Linked DNA regions of Ovis aries. The protein of the gene in region 2 interacts with the protein of the main gene of each other region in a biochemical or structural test. Links are inferred from orthologs where the notes say so. Each region holds a gene or a part of one and is shown on either strand. Other genes may lie near its edges.

Evidence for each region.
Region 1: of the proteins of CDK1 (region 2) and RPS3, one has a biochemical effect on the other in vitro, tested with the Homo sapiens proteins (2 studies listed by BioGRID, with this or other methods). The link is inferred for Ovis aries from reciprocal best matches to the Homo sapiens genes CDK1 and RPS3.
Region 3: of the proteins of CDK1 (region 2) and EZH2, one has a biochemical effect on the other in vitro, tested with the Homo sapiens proteins (5 studies listed by BioGRID). The link is inferred for Ovis aries from reciprocal best matches to the Homo sapiens genes CDK1 and EZH2.

Annotation. Positions count from the first base shown.
Region 1 is NC_056068.1:53,317,453-53,321,679, reverse strand, and holds the start of RPS3 (small ribosomal subunit protein uS3), read right to left. Parts: upstream 2,804-4,227; 5' UTR 2,774-2,803; coding exon 2,744-2,773; intron 2,202-2,743; exon of another isoform or gene 2,052-2,201; intron 1,907-2,051; coding exon 1,776-1,906; intron 1,505-1,775; coding exon 1,411-1,504; intron 530-1,410; coding exon 435-529; intron 1-434. UniProt on the Homo sapiens protein: Component of the small ribosomal subunit. The ribosome is a large ribonucleoprotein complex responsible for the synthesis of proteins in the cell. Has endonuclease activity and plays a role in repair of damaged DNA.
Region 2 is NC_056078.1:15,814,873-15,819,067, forward strand, and holds the start of CDK1 (cyclin-dependent kinase 1), read left to right. Parts: upstream 1-1,348; 5' UTR 1,349-1,419; intron 1,420-3,882; 5' UTR 3,883-3,907; coding exon 3,908-3,944; intron 3,945-4,195. UniProt on the Homo sapiens protein: Plays a key role in the control of the eukaryotic cell cycle by modulating the centrosome cycle as well as mitotic onset; promotes G2-M transition via association with multiple interphase cyclins.
Region 3 is NC_056057.1:113,214,570-113,218,690, reverse strand, and holds the start of EZH2 (histone-lysine N-methyltransferase EZH2), read left to right. Parts: upstream 1-1,318; 5' UTR 1,319-1,445; intron 1,446-1,535; exon of another isoform or gene 1,536-1,551; intron 1,552-4,121. UniProt on the Homo sapiens protein: Polycomb group (PcG) protein. Catalytic subunit of the PRC2/EED-EZH2 complex, which methylates 'Lys-9' (H3K9me) and 'Lys-27' (H3K27me) of histone H3, leading to transcriptional repression of the affected target gene.

The sequences.
Region 1 (4,227 bases), on a different chromosome or scaffold from region 2:
CTGAAATCTTATCAGCAAGCCCAGCTCCGGGGCCAATCTAACCACCTCATGTCCTCTGTTCCTCACATCACTATCTATAAATACCTACTGGGCATACCTGACTAGATTTTAAGCTCTCTTCTCAGCAATGAGTCTTCTCTCTTGAATCCCCAGAGTTACCACCACACAATGTATGTGAATGACTTCAACATGAACCCAAACCATTCCCCACCCCCATCCTACATTCATACTCCCACCGTGCTCTACTAACACCACTCGCTTTTTTAAACACTTGTCTTTACTAGTCTTTCTAACTAGGCTGCAACATGGATTGACAATGTCTTATTGTTAAAGCCCTCAGAGACTAGCTGAGCCTGTCCAGAGTCCACTTACTAAATTAACAAAATAGCTGATATACTGATTCACGAAAGGACACAATTCATAAGGACTCTTACCTCCGCACAGCAAGGCCTCCTAGGAGCTTGTAACGCAGAGACTCTGCCTGGGCAATGGCACACAGTCCTCTTGTGGCTACCTTTTCAGCATAAAGCTTTAAAGAAAACAAGGCACATTCTTAAACTTGTTACACTCATCACCACCGTTTTCAACTAAAAATCAGCACATTCATGATTCAAGCAGACACCCCTCTATGTATCACTCTATTTGTTCTCATTTAGTGGATGAGTGTGCAACCCCATTGGCTACAGCCCACCAGGGTCCTCTTCTTCTCCAGGCAAGAATACTGGTGAAGGTTACCATGCCCTCCTCCAGATCTTCCTGACTCAGGGACTGAACCCGCGTCTCCTACATTGGCACGCAGATTCCTTACCAGTAAGCCACCTGGGAAGCCCTTCACTGTACTACCCAAGTATTAAAGCACTTCTAATGCCCACATCTAACAAACACTCAGGGACGCAGACTGAACTGAACCATTCCTCATTTTTCTCCCACCCCCACCTCTTTCCACAGCCAAATCATGGAGATCAATGGGCAGCCAACCTCTCCTATGTATCATTACTAATTCCAAGATAGGTATAAACTGCTGCCAACTGCTTATTAAAAGACCTTCAACAAAATACCAATCCATTTGTAATACTCACTGATCACAAGTAAGCTTTCAGGGTGATAATATGAGTTTTCAGAAGTACCATCCTAAAGAGGGCTTCCCTGGTGGCTCAGATGGTAAAGAATCCGCCTGCAATGTGGGGAGACCTGGGTTCAATCGCTTGGTTGGGAAGATCCCCTGGAGGAGGGCATGGCAACCAGCTCCAGAATTCTTGCCTGGAAGACTCCCCATGGACAGAGAAGCCTTGGGGCCATGGGGGTCACAAAGAGTTGGACACGACTGAGCGACAAAGCACAGCACAGCACCATCCTGAAGAGCCATTTCTAGCTCCAGAGTAGCCTCTGGCACAAGCCAGGATCACTCACCTCTACACTGCCTTCAGGGAAGCCGAATCTCTTCTGAACCACAGCAGTCAATTCCCGGATCCGCCGGCCCTTCTCACCAAGTACATTCTGTGTCCTGGGGAAAATGAAGAGTGACAATTCACAGCTCTCATAACATTACAGATGTAATTTTAAACCTTGCACACGTGTGGTAGTAAAAATCTAATTCATCTGACACAAGAAAGCATAAATTTTGGATGACAAGAACTAAGAGATTATCTTTTTTTTAAATGCAGCTTAAAAACTCATTCACGATGACTCAACTGTTGTTCTGCTACGTTTACAGAAGAAATCACCTTAGTGCAGACAACAATTACAGGTGATGGCCAGAAAAATGAATTTTTCACCTGGTGGCCAAGATGATGATCTCTGTCCTGGTTGGTGTAACTCGGACCTCAACTCCAGAGTACCCATCTTCGGCCAGCTCCCGAGTGAGAAACTCGTTCAGTTCAGCTTTGAAGATGCCATCAGCGACAAACTAACCAAAAGCAAAATGAAAATGAGGATCTGGACATGGGCTCAGGTTTCTAGCCCAGTCAATGCAACCCTAATCAAGATTCAACACCTCCAACCAACGACCCATCATTAATTATTTTGCCTTGTTCCAGAGAAAACATAGCAACCCTTCTCAGACAAATGCCTCTAAGTCATCTTTTGGAAGTTAACTTTGACCCAGGCCCTTAAAACTGTGCCACAGAACGCGGCACAGGGTAGGGGTCACCTGGACAAAGAGAACACCTCCAGTCAGACTCGTCATCTCCTCTTCATTGAAGGGTTTTAAATAATCAAACCGTTTCCCCCAGGTCCCTTCCCTCTATTTCCCCAGAACGTTTCCTTGACCCCAAGATAGAACAAGAAATTGTCAGTAACCTTCCAAACTGAGGTCCTTGGGGTCAGAAGCCTGCACCCAGACAAGCCTAGGAAGAAGGCAAGCGAACACTGCTACCTCCCTTTCTCAAAGCTACCATTCGATGAGGGAAAGGCTCATGCATTCAAAACATCACATTTAGTAACTTTACTAACTACTGACTAAGAAAGGCTCACAAGCGCTCCTCCACGGCAGGAGGAGCCCTCAGTGCTCATCTCTGCTCTCCGCCCGGAACCGGCAGAAATCCTTCTCTCCTATCCCAGCCATACCGTTCTCAGCAGCCACGGGCCTGCGCTCAATCCACCGCCATCCGCAGCCCACGGGAAAGCGACACAGTCCGGCCGCTGCCCCGGGCATAGCGAAGAGCTATAAGTCTCGCAATAGCACCCAGAAAGGCTCCTGACCCGCGAAACGCCACTTCCCTGCAACCGGGCCCCGGGATCTCACCTTCCTCTTTTTGGAAATTTGCACGGCCATCTTGCCGACGCGAGCCGCCGAAAGGAAAGGAAGTGGCAAGCGGGCGGAAGTGCGTATAAAGGGCGCTGTGCGACGACAAAGAACTGCGCGACGTCGACGCCTGTGAGCGCTCATGGGAAGTGTAGTTTTCACTTTGGTAAAAGGAAAGAGAAAAGCGCGGTCCAAGGGTTGATGCTTTTGAACTGTGAGGTGTTGGGGAAGAAAGGAAATCAATCCTCAGTATTCATTGGAAGGACTGATGCTGAAGCTGAAGCTCCAATACTTTGGCCATCTGATGCAAAGAGCTGACTCATTGGAAAAGACCCTGATACTGCCTTCAGAAAGACTAAAGTCAGGAGGAGAAGGGCAGGACACAAAGGATGAGACAGTTGGATGGCATCACCGACTCAATGGACATGAGTTTGAGCAAGCTCCGGGAGATGGCGATGGACAGGGAAACCCGGCGTGCTGCAGCCCATGGGGTCGCAAAGAGTTGGACACAACTGAGCGACTGAACAACAACAATATCCAGAAACCTGGGCTTTCCAGGTGGCACTAGCGGTAAAGAACCCGCCTGCAAATGGAGGAGAGAGAGTGGTGAGGGGTCGATCATAGGGATGAGGGGTCGATCTCCAGGTCAGGAAGATCCACTGGAGGAGGGCATGGCAACCCACTCCAGTTTTCTTGCCTGGAGAATCCCATAGACAGAGGAGCCAATATCTCAATCAGAGCTTTAAAAATTCAGGGAAGTTTAGAGTCCAGTTCTCATCAGTTTAATTAGAGCCCAGTTCTCATCAGTTTAAAACCAAGTATAAACACACACTTATCTGCTAACTTTATTCTTTAATGAAAAAAAGTAAAAGCACTTTTGGGCTGAAAGCCCTCAGAGAAATTCACTGAGGCACCTATCTCTTCCAATTTGTGTCCACTTCCTCTGTTGCAAACTGATAATATATATATAATATGTATTAAATATTCTAAGGACTGTTTTAGGACTTTATATTATTAATTCATTACCTCTACCTCACGTTCATAAAGTATGTTACAGCTTGTAACAGAAGTTACGATAATGGCTCGCAATTCTTTTTCAATTAAAAAAAATCTCCCCTCGCAGATTTTATTACAAAAAATTTCAAACATACAGAAAAGTTGGAAGAACTATACAGTGTACACCTATATATGCATCCCTTAGGTGCTGCAATTAACATTTTTTTCTGTATTTGCTTTATCAGATATTTATCCTTGCCTCTATCCACCCAACAGTGCATCTTTTGATACATTTCAAAGTTACTTTCAGGCATCAGGACACTTCACGCCTTAAATTTTCCCAACAGTTTTTTTTTTTTTTTTTTTCCAGTTTTACTGAGAAATAATTGACATACATCAATGTATAAGTTTAAGGCATACAACATAATGGCTTGATTCACATATCATGAAATGATTACCACAAGAGATTCAGTTAACATCCATCATCT
Region 2 (4,195 bases):
TCTTTAAAATTAGTACCCTAAACTAGCAGAGAATAGTCTTCTCTAGAACACAGTTTTCATTTTATTTAAGGCAATTTAAGGCAGTTTTCATTTAAAATGTGAATTTGAGATTTTAAAAATAAGTTTTAAAAGTTATTAGGTTCAGGCCAAGTTTTCCCAAATCTCGTACTTCTACTATGAATTTAAAATATTCTGTCACCCAGGAGCACAAAATTGCCAAGGTTGAGTGTTTGTGCCACATATAGGGGGCCATGTGATAAACTTATTCCATTCCTTATCCTAATCTGGATCATCAAACACATAGTTGTAGAGGGCATGGTAATCAGTATTTGTTCCAGATCTCGATACAGTCAGTGGAAAGACTCTTACTATCCTCAGTTCTATTTTACTTTTTTATTTTCTTAAAGACTTAAGAATGATGTTCAGGTGCAGAAATCTCTTTAGGATATGGTGGAGGGCAATGAAAGAGTTTGGGGATACGGGATTATTTAAAGTGTAATTTAGATCTTTTTCTTCTCCCACAGAAGTGTGAATTTTTGTGTTTTTAAGAACATTTAAAATTCTGATGTGAGAATATTTTAACATTTAAGAAAAGAAAAATTTTGCTTTTTAATTTTTAAGTCAAAATGTTACATAGATTTTAAAAATGAAATTTAAAACAGTGAGGTGAAAACAGCTCAGCCATATATGTGTGTGAAATGTGACAAAAATGTATCTAACTCATATTCATATATATATTTATATATATATGAAAAGTTTCTTTACCCTGTTGAGGACATCTTTCCTAGTTTTCTATTACCTCTTTCTATTAAAACAAACTTTATTTGTTTTGTTTTTTGGCTGCCTTGAGTCTTAAGTTGAGCATGAGGGATCTTCCCCTTGGGACATGCAGAATCATGCTCTTTGACCCAGACTGAGATTCATTATTTTAGAAAAGCATAAATATACATTAGCTTTCAGTATCAGAAATGAAAGTAATGGGATCTGGATTACGTGTAGCACCACTTCTGTGATGAACTATTTGAATACCTCAAATTTTTATTGTGCCAATATTGGGAGAGAAAAAAACCCAACCCTGAGAGGACAGTAGATTTCTTATGACTAGAAACAATAAGACGACCCTATCTTGGAACGCGCTTGCGCTCAGACTCAGTTGGCGCCCGCCCTTCTGCTTTTTCTCCAGCCGCCGTTTCCTCCACCTTTCGCGCTCTAGCCACCCGGGGAGGCCAGCGTTAAGGGAAGCTAGGCTCTGATTGGCTCCTTTAAAAGTCTACGGGCTATCTGATTGGTGAATCCAGGACCCTTTAGCGCGGTGAGTTTGAAACTGCTCGCACTTAGCTCCAAAGCTGGCGCTTGGAAGTTAGGGAGAGCGTCGCCGACTTGGTAGCCGCCGCAGCTTTCGCCGCGGGATAAAGCCGGGTAGCGTTGGTGAGGTCAGGGTGTTGCCTATGGGGTGTCCACTCGGAAGGGCTGGCTCGCGGACCTTGGAGGGGGAGTATTAATGAAGCAGGTGATAATTGGGAGGCTGGGCTCTGGGCAGTGGGGTTCTGCGTACCGCCAAGCCCGGCCTTAACCGGAGGCCCCGGGCCTGCGCATGGAGCGACGCCCAACCTCGGCTTCAGTGGGAGGCGTGGGGGAGCCCAGCCCGGCCAGGCAGGGTTGGCATTGCTGTGGTCTCTGAATTGCAATCTGGGGTCGCGGGCGGCTGAGGAGGCTTTCTGGGGTTGATGGAAGGCAGATTTGTGCCTTCGTTCGCCGACACCAAGCGCTTGTGGAGTGCCAGGCTCTGCCCTGCAGCTCCTAGCTTCGCCTCCGGGAGTGGAAAGCAAGATTGCAACTCAGCCCGGTGCTCGGGCCTGCTTCTAATCCCAGGTGGTCACGGGAAACCGACCGGAAGAACTAACTTGTGGGCCTTCTCAGCTTGCCTCTCTGCTCCCATGACCCTAGCTTACCTGGAGCTTTTAAGAACACTTATCCTGGGCATAGACCCCGAGAGAACTTGGATTTTTTGGATTTTATTTTATGCTTGGTGGTTGTTACATACAATGGAATTGGCAAAAACTGGAAATCTAAGAAACGCCGAGAGTTAGAAACGTGTCATTTAAAATCCTTTAATCAGTTTTAACGTGCAGGTCTTGCTTTCTTTAAAGACCTGGAGGTGTCTGGGTGGATGAAGCCATTGGTATTTTACATCCTGCCACTAGGAATAGAGGAGGCATTCAAAAGGCATTACGAAGCCACATCCTTTATTTAAAATAGTTGCAACCAGGGAAAGGTGAAAGAGTAATTGAACCCAGCTTTGAAATTGAGTTAGTTTTCAGTTATTTTGTTTAAAATAAGCTCCACAGTTTCATTGTGATTTGGGCATATTACAGCTGGATATTGAAGAAAAGATAGTTAGTCCTAATCCATTGCCATTTGTAAAATTGAACATTTTTAAGATGGCCAGAGTAGTGCAATTTTGTTTATTTAAAAAAGTTTATCTCTGCTTGTGTCTGGAATGATTTTGAAAAAGAATGTGAGAAATTTAACTCAAGGGTCAATGTAACTTAAGGTTCAGTGACCTTTATGATTTTATCAGTGATATAAAATGATGGTTTGGGCTTCTGAAGTTGATGTTTCCATGGCAAACTTACCAGGAAGTCTTGAGTATCTGGTTGTCATTTGGGCTTTTTTTTTCTTAACCATTTTTTTGTGTGTGTGATTCAAGTATATGGACATTCTTTGTTCTTGACATTGCATGGGATATAATTAGACTTTATGTATGGAATTGCCCATTTTCTTTTAGAGTGCTTAGTGATATTTCCTACTTTACAAAAGGTATCTTGAAAGTTTTTTTTTATCATGTTTGTGTTACGTGACTCCTGACAACAAGAGAAAGATAAAAACTGTCATTTGAGCAAGTTGAAATGAATATACTTTTGCTGCTTTAAATATTTTCTAATGGTTGAACAGTGTGACCACATTTTAGCTCCCTACTCATGTCTTTAAAAATTGTTTATTAACTTCATAAAAGTATCATGAAGCTACAAATTCAAGTAGCATTCATTGCTAAACTATTTGGGTATAACTGGCGCACATTGATGAGCCTTGGAAGTCTTATGTAAAGAACATCAGGGTTTTCTTTGGGACGGATAGATGTTGATGTCTGAATTTGAAAGTTAATTTTGAAAGAAGCCCCCAGGTGGCTCTAGTGGTAAAGAACCTGCCTGCCAGTGCAGGGAACATAACAGACAGTGGTTTCCATCCCTGGGTCAGGAAGGTACCTTGGAGGAGGGCATGGCAATCCACTCCAGTATTCTCGCTTGGAGAATCCTATGGCAGAGGAGCCTGGCAGGCTCCATAGGATCACACAGAGTCGGACACTGAAGCGACTTAGTATACCAAAGTTATCCAGGTATAGGATATACAAATATTTCCAATGTTTCAGAAGCTAAGAAAGGTGGGAGAGTCTTGAGCTCTTCCCCTTGTAAATATTGTTTTAATAGAATAGCTAATATTATGGAAAAATTTTTAAAAATTTATTTGTATTTGGCTGCACTGGATGTTCATTGCCACAAGTGACTTTCTCTAGTTGAGGCAAGTGGATGCTACTCTCTGTTGCGGTGCACCAGCAAGGTGCACAGGCTTCAGTAGTTGTGATGCTTGGGCTTAGTTGCCCTGTGGCATGTGGAATCTTCCTGGACCAGGGATTGAACCTGTGTTCCCTGCATTGACAGGTGGATTCCTATCCACTGCACCGTGAGGGAAGTCCTATTATGGAAAGTTAGTACTGCTCTAGGCACAGTGGGAAATTCTTTACTTGTAATATCTTATCAATAACTTAAAAGCACCCTTTGAATTGGTGACATGTGATCAAATAAGCTTTTCTTCTCATTTTAGGATCTACCGTACCCACTGATTAACTATGGAAGACTATACCAAAATAGAGAAAATTGGAGAAGGTGAGTGGCTTTAATAATATACAAGGAATTTTAAAAATGATTTAATGGTTTGACATGTAAATATTCAAATTCAGTTTTTAAAGTATCCAACAGTCATTAGTACATTAATATATATGTTCTCATATATATATGCTATATATAGTAGCATAAGCAAAAAAAAAAAGTTAACCTTTCAAGAGCACTGAAATTATTCTGACATGTCTCCCTACCAGCATCCCTCCAATAATCTTACATTCTTCTAATACTAAACA
Region 3 (4,121 bases), on a different chromosome or scaffold from region 2:
TTAAAAATTAAATAAAATACTAAAAGCATGATTCCGTTAAAGCATGATTCCGTTAGGCTTTTAGCTCGAGCTCATAGGTGACCGTCTTCCCTGCCCCGCACGTGAGCTCTCAATTTGGAATCTCAGTTTATGTGGGTGAGGGGGTTACTTTGCCCTATAGTTACACCCTACTAAAAAAAAAAATCGGAATAACCTTAACTTCACTGCCAGATAAATCAAAAAGGGCGACTGTATCCTAAGTGGAATAGCACTAACTCCTCTGGGTGGAGACAGGCTCACCCCATGATCTTTTTTTTTTTTTTTAATACTTGAAAAATGCTGGCATCTTAATACTTTGTAGAGAAGTTAGCACGAGGGACATGAACAATCATCCTTGATAAATGATTTTTAACGCTGACACGTGCTTGGCACTGCAACACTGGAAAGGGTTTGAACAAGGCGCTCTGAATGAGGAATCTGAAATAATCGTGACTTCTCTCTTTCCCAGGGTTTCTAAGGCGATGGGCACTGTGGGATCGACTAGCCAAAGTCCAGTGGGACCCGAGTCGGGCCAAGCGGCCGAGGGGCGGCAGCAGACAAAAGTAGCCGGCAGGGCGCTCCGCTCGGCTCGGGGGACGGCGCATCGGCCACGCCGGAGGGCGGGAGGCTCGCAGCTCCTCGCCCGAGACCAGCCGGGCTGGAGCTGGGGCCGTAGAGGGCGTCTGGCCGGCAGACCGGGCGCCGCGAGCCCTCGTGTCCGGCTCTTCCCGCCCGCCGGCCGGCCGGCCAGGGCCTCCGCTGCGCGCGCGGGGAAAAAGAGCGCGGCAGTTGAAACCGTTACCACCCCGAGTTTTGAACTGGTTCAAACTTGGCTTTCGGCCCCGCCCCGCCCCTCCGGCCCGGGAACACCGAAGCGGCGGTTCCCGCCAAGCGCCGCGAGCGCGCCGTCCCGCCCTCCGGCCGGTTCCCGCCACCCCGCCCAGCCCGCCTTCCCGCCCGCGGTTTGGGGATTCGGGCTCCGGAGGCCCTTCTTCCCCGAACGCCGGCCCCACCGCCTTCCTGAGAGGCGCCGGGCGTTCGGAGAAAAGAACAAAGAGCCGGCGCGGCGCTTCCACTCAGGCGGCAGCGTCCCTCAGCGCCTGCCCGCCCGCGCGCACGCGCCGCCGGCCCGGCCCGGCAGAGTCCCGCGGGCGCCTCTGCGTGGGGCTGGCTCGGCGCCTCAGAGGCCGGCGGGCCCTGTGATTGGACGGGAGCCCGCCTCGCGTCCCGCCAATCGGGGCGGCGCTTGGTTGGACAGGGGGGGCCAAATAAAAGCGATGGCGATTGGGCTGCCTGGTTTGGCGCTCGGTCCGGGAGCGTCCGACACCCACTGGGACGCAGAAGGCGGTGGAGCCCCGGCGGCGGCGGCAGCGGTGGCGCGCGGGAGCGGCGCGCGGGAGCGGCGCGGGCTGGGGCGCGGGGCGCAGGTAACGCGCCGCTGTCGGGCCGGCAGGCCGGCCGGCCGGCGGGGCTCCGGAGCTCGGCGTGGGGCGGCGGCGGCGGGACATCTCCGCTGCCGCTCAGCCGGTCCGGGTAATCCTCCCCCCACCCCCACAAGCGGGCTTTCCCGGGGAGCCTCTGGGGCTCGTGGGGGTGAGAAGAGACCTCCCCTCACCCCCCTCGGAAAGGGCTGTGGGCCCGGGCCGATCCGCGCGACCCCCGCGGGCGGGCTGTGTGGGAGCCAGAGAAACCCGAGGCGGGAGCCCGGGCGGGCGCCGAGCGGAGGGTTTGCGGGGGGGGGGGGGTCCCCTCGCGCGCCCGTTCCTCCCGAGGCGCCGGGGCCGGGCTGGGGGCGCTCGGGTGCCCGGGGCGGGCCGGCCGCCCGAGCCCCCGGTCTCCTTTGTGTGGAGCGGCACGGCGGCGGGAGCGCCCGGGTGGGACGGGACCCACACAAGTTGATGGGACCTCAGCGCCGAGTGCGCACTCAGAGACAAAGGACGGACTGTGTCTCGGGGGAGCTCGGCGCGAGTCAGGGGCAGTGACACCGGGGCCTGACAGCGGGCGGAGAGGGGGCGTGGGGAGCGGGCGGGCGGGCTCGGCCCCACGCCCCCTCCCCGCGAGCGCGCAGGCTCGGCCCGGGGCCGCGGGGGCCGGGACGGCGCGCGGAGACCGGACTCGGGCGTCCGCGCTTGCTGACATTTCCGCCGAAAGCTGCCCCGGAGCCCTGAGGCCCCGAGCCCCGCTCGGACCAGGCGGTCCCCGGCCGCCTCTGTCGTCTCGGCGGGGCTCTCCGTTAAGTTTGAGGGGCGGGTCGCGCTGTTCTACCCCCCACCCCCGCCCCCATCTCCGCGGTTTTGTTCGTTACGGAGGGCTTTCCGTCGAGTTCACGCGTCCTTGTGGGCCCCCCACCCCCATCTCCGCCTCCCCAAAAGTCGGTGCCTCAGGGTCACTTTGTGAAGAACGGGAGGGATCGAGAAGCGTGGTATTTTGGAAAACTTAGTGAACTCAACGCCTGGTGAATCCCCAGTTTCTGAAGAATCATCATCTTCCAAAAAAAAAAAAAAAAAAAGAAACCTGTCCAGGCTGTTTTGGCCAACTCGTGTGAGACTGGCGACAGGTGCTAACGAAATCAGCTGTCATTTAGTGAGGAGAGATTGTTCCCCGAATCCCTAGGGGATGAACGGGGAAGAGATGGTACAAAGAGTTGGTCCAAAGAAAACGCTTATGCTAAATGTGTGTTTGGATGGTATGGTTAGCAATTTCTCATTAATTGGACTTGTTTTCCGTGAACAATAGCTTTGTTGAGTCAGAAAAGACTGGCTGCAGAAATGTTCGTTGCCTAAGAAATCGAACGTGTGCTGTCCGCAGTTAAGCTACTTTGTCGCACGGGATCTGTAAAATTTTAATTCATTTGGAAATAAAGATGTCTTTGGTATTTAAAAATGCTTTAAATGCTGCACGGTTTGCTAGCTGGGTTTGAAAGGTCGTTATCAGCTTAGTTTTGTGGCGTTTCAATGTCACATAAAACAACATTTAAAACAACAGTTTAAAAAAGCTTTTAAAAAACACTAATGCTAACACAGGTGAATGTAGTCTGTACTTCTAGGGGGGTTTGAGATCGAGCGGGTGGGATCCTAACCCTTAGATCACTAGGGAGCTAGGGGGGTTGGTTGTGGAGTTTATTTTCTATTACTCCTTATGACCATTAGCAAATATTTTATGTTTGGAGATAAAATGTAGAGCAAGTGTGTAATCCTAACTATTGATCATTTTATTTGCAAGAAAACGAAAGTATTCAAGATACATTTTAATTTCCTTTTCCTATTCCCTAAAGTTAGGAATAGATGGGGTTCTAGTCTTAGATATAGAGAATCCTATTCTCTTTTTGGAGGTGTGTGAGAGAATGTAATGTTTAAAGTCTTGGAAACACTTAGGAAAATGGCATCTTAAATATTAATTTTTGTGGAAAGTGAACGTATTCAAAGGAACGAAATTTAGAAACACTTAGACACTCTTCTTATTTGCATTGTTTTATCTGTTGATCTAATGTGCAGCCTTCTATTTTACGGTTTCAAAAAAGTGGAGACAAAGAAATGTAGTGTAAAAGTCTTACACATTTTGCAGTGTTCAACATCACTGAACTGACATTCCAGGTGCTGTTCCTAAGTATTGTCTACATTTATATTAGTTGTTGGTAATTATAAAAAGTCCTACTGATAATCTTGCCCATTGTTAGGAGGTGAGCTAGTTATGCAGATTTTGGCAGAAATTTGAATCTTTTAGAATACAAAATTCAGTTTTCCCCATCTTGTGTACATTATATTTGATAATTACTATCTTTGTACTTGCCACAAGATTTTGTTTGAAAAGGTTTTTGGGGGAATTGGTTTTAAATTTTTTGTGTTTGAATTGAGAGTGTATTTAGTTTAAGTAGCAGTGATAAAAAACTATGCTTGTTGATTTAGTATAGTTAGGCAAAGAAAAAGAGCACAAATTCGTTTATACCAGCTTTGCCTTGCATGCATACGTAAAAGTGATTATCTTTGTGTTGACCACTAGAAATGTGTAGGTAGATTTCCCCAGGTCGCATGGAGATTTTCCAGGATATCCCCCATCCTTTGAGCTGGCATGCTCCAGGAGTCTGAGTTAGTTTCTGACTTGGC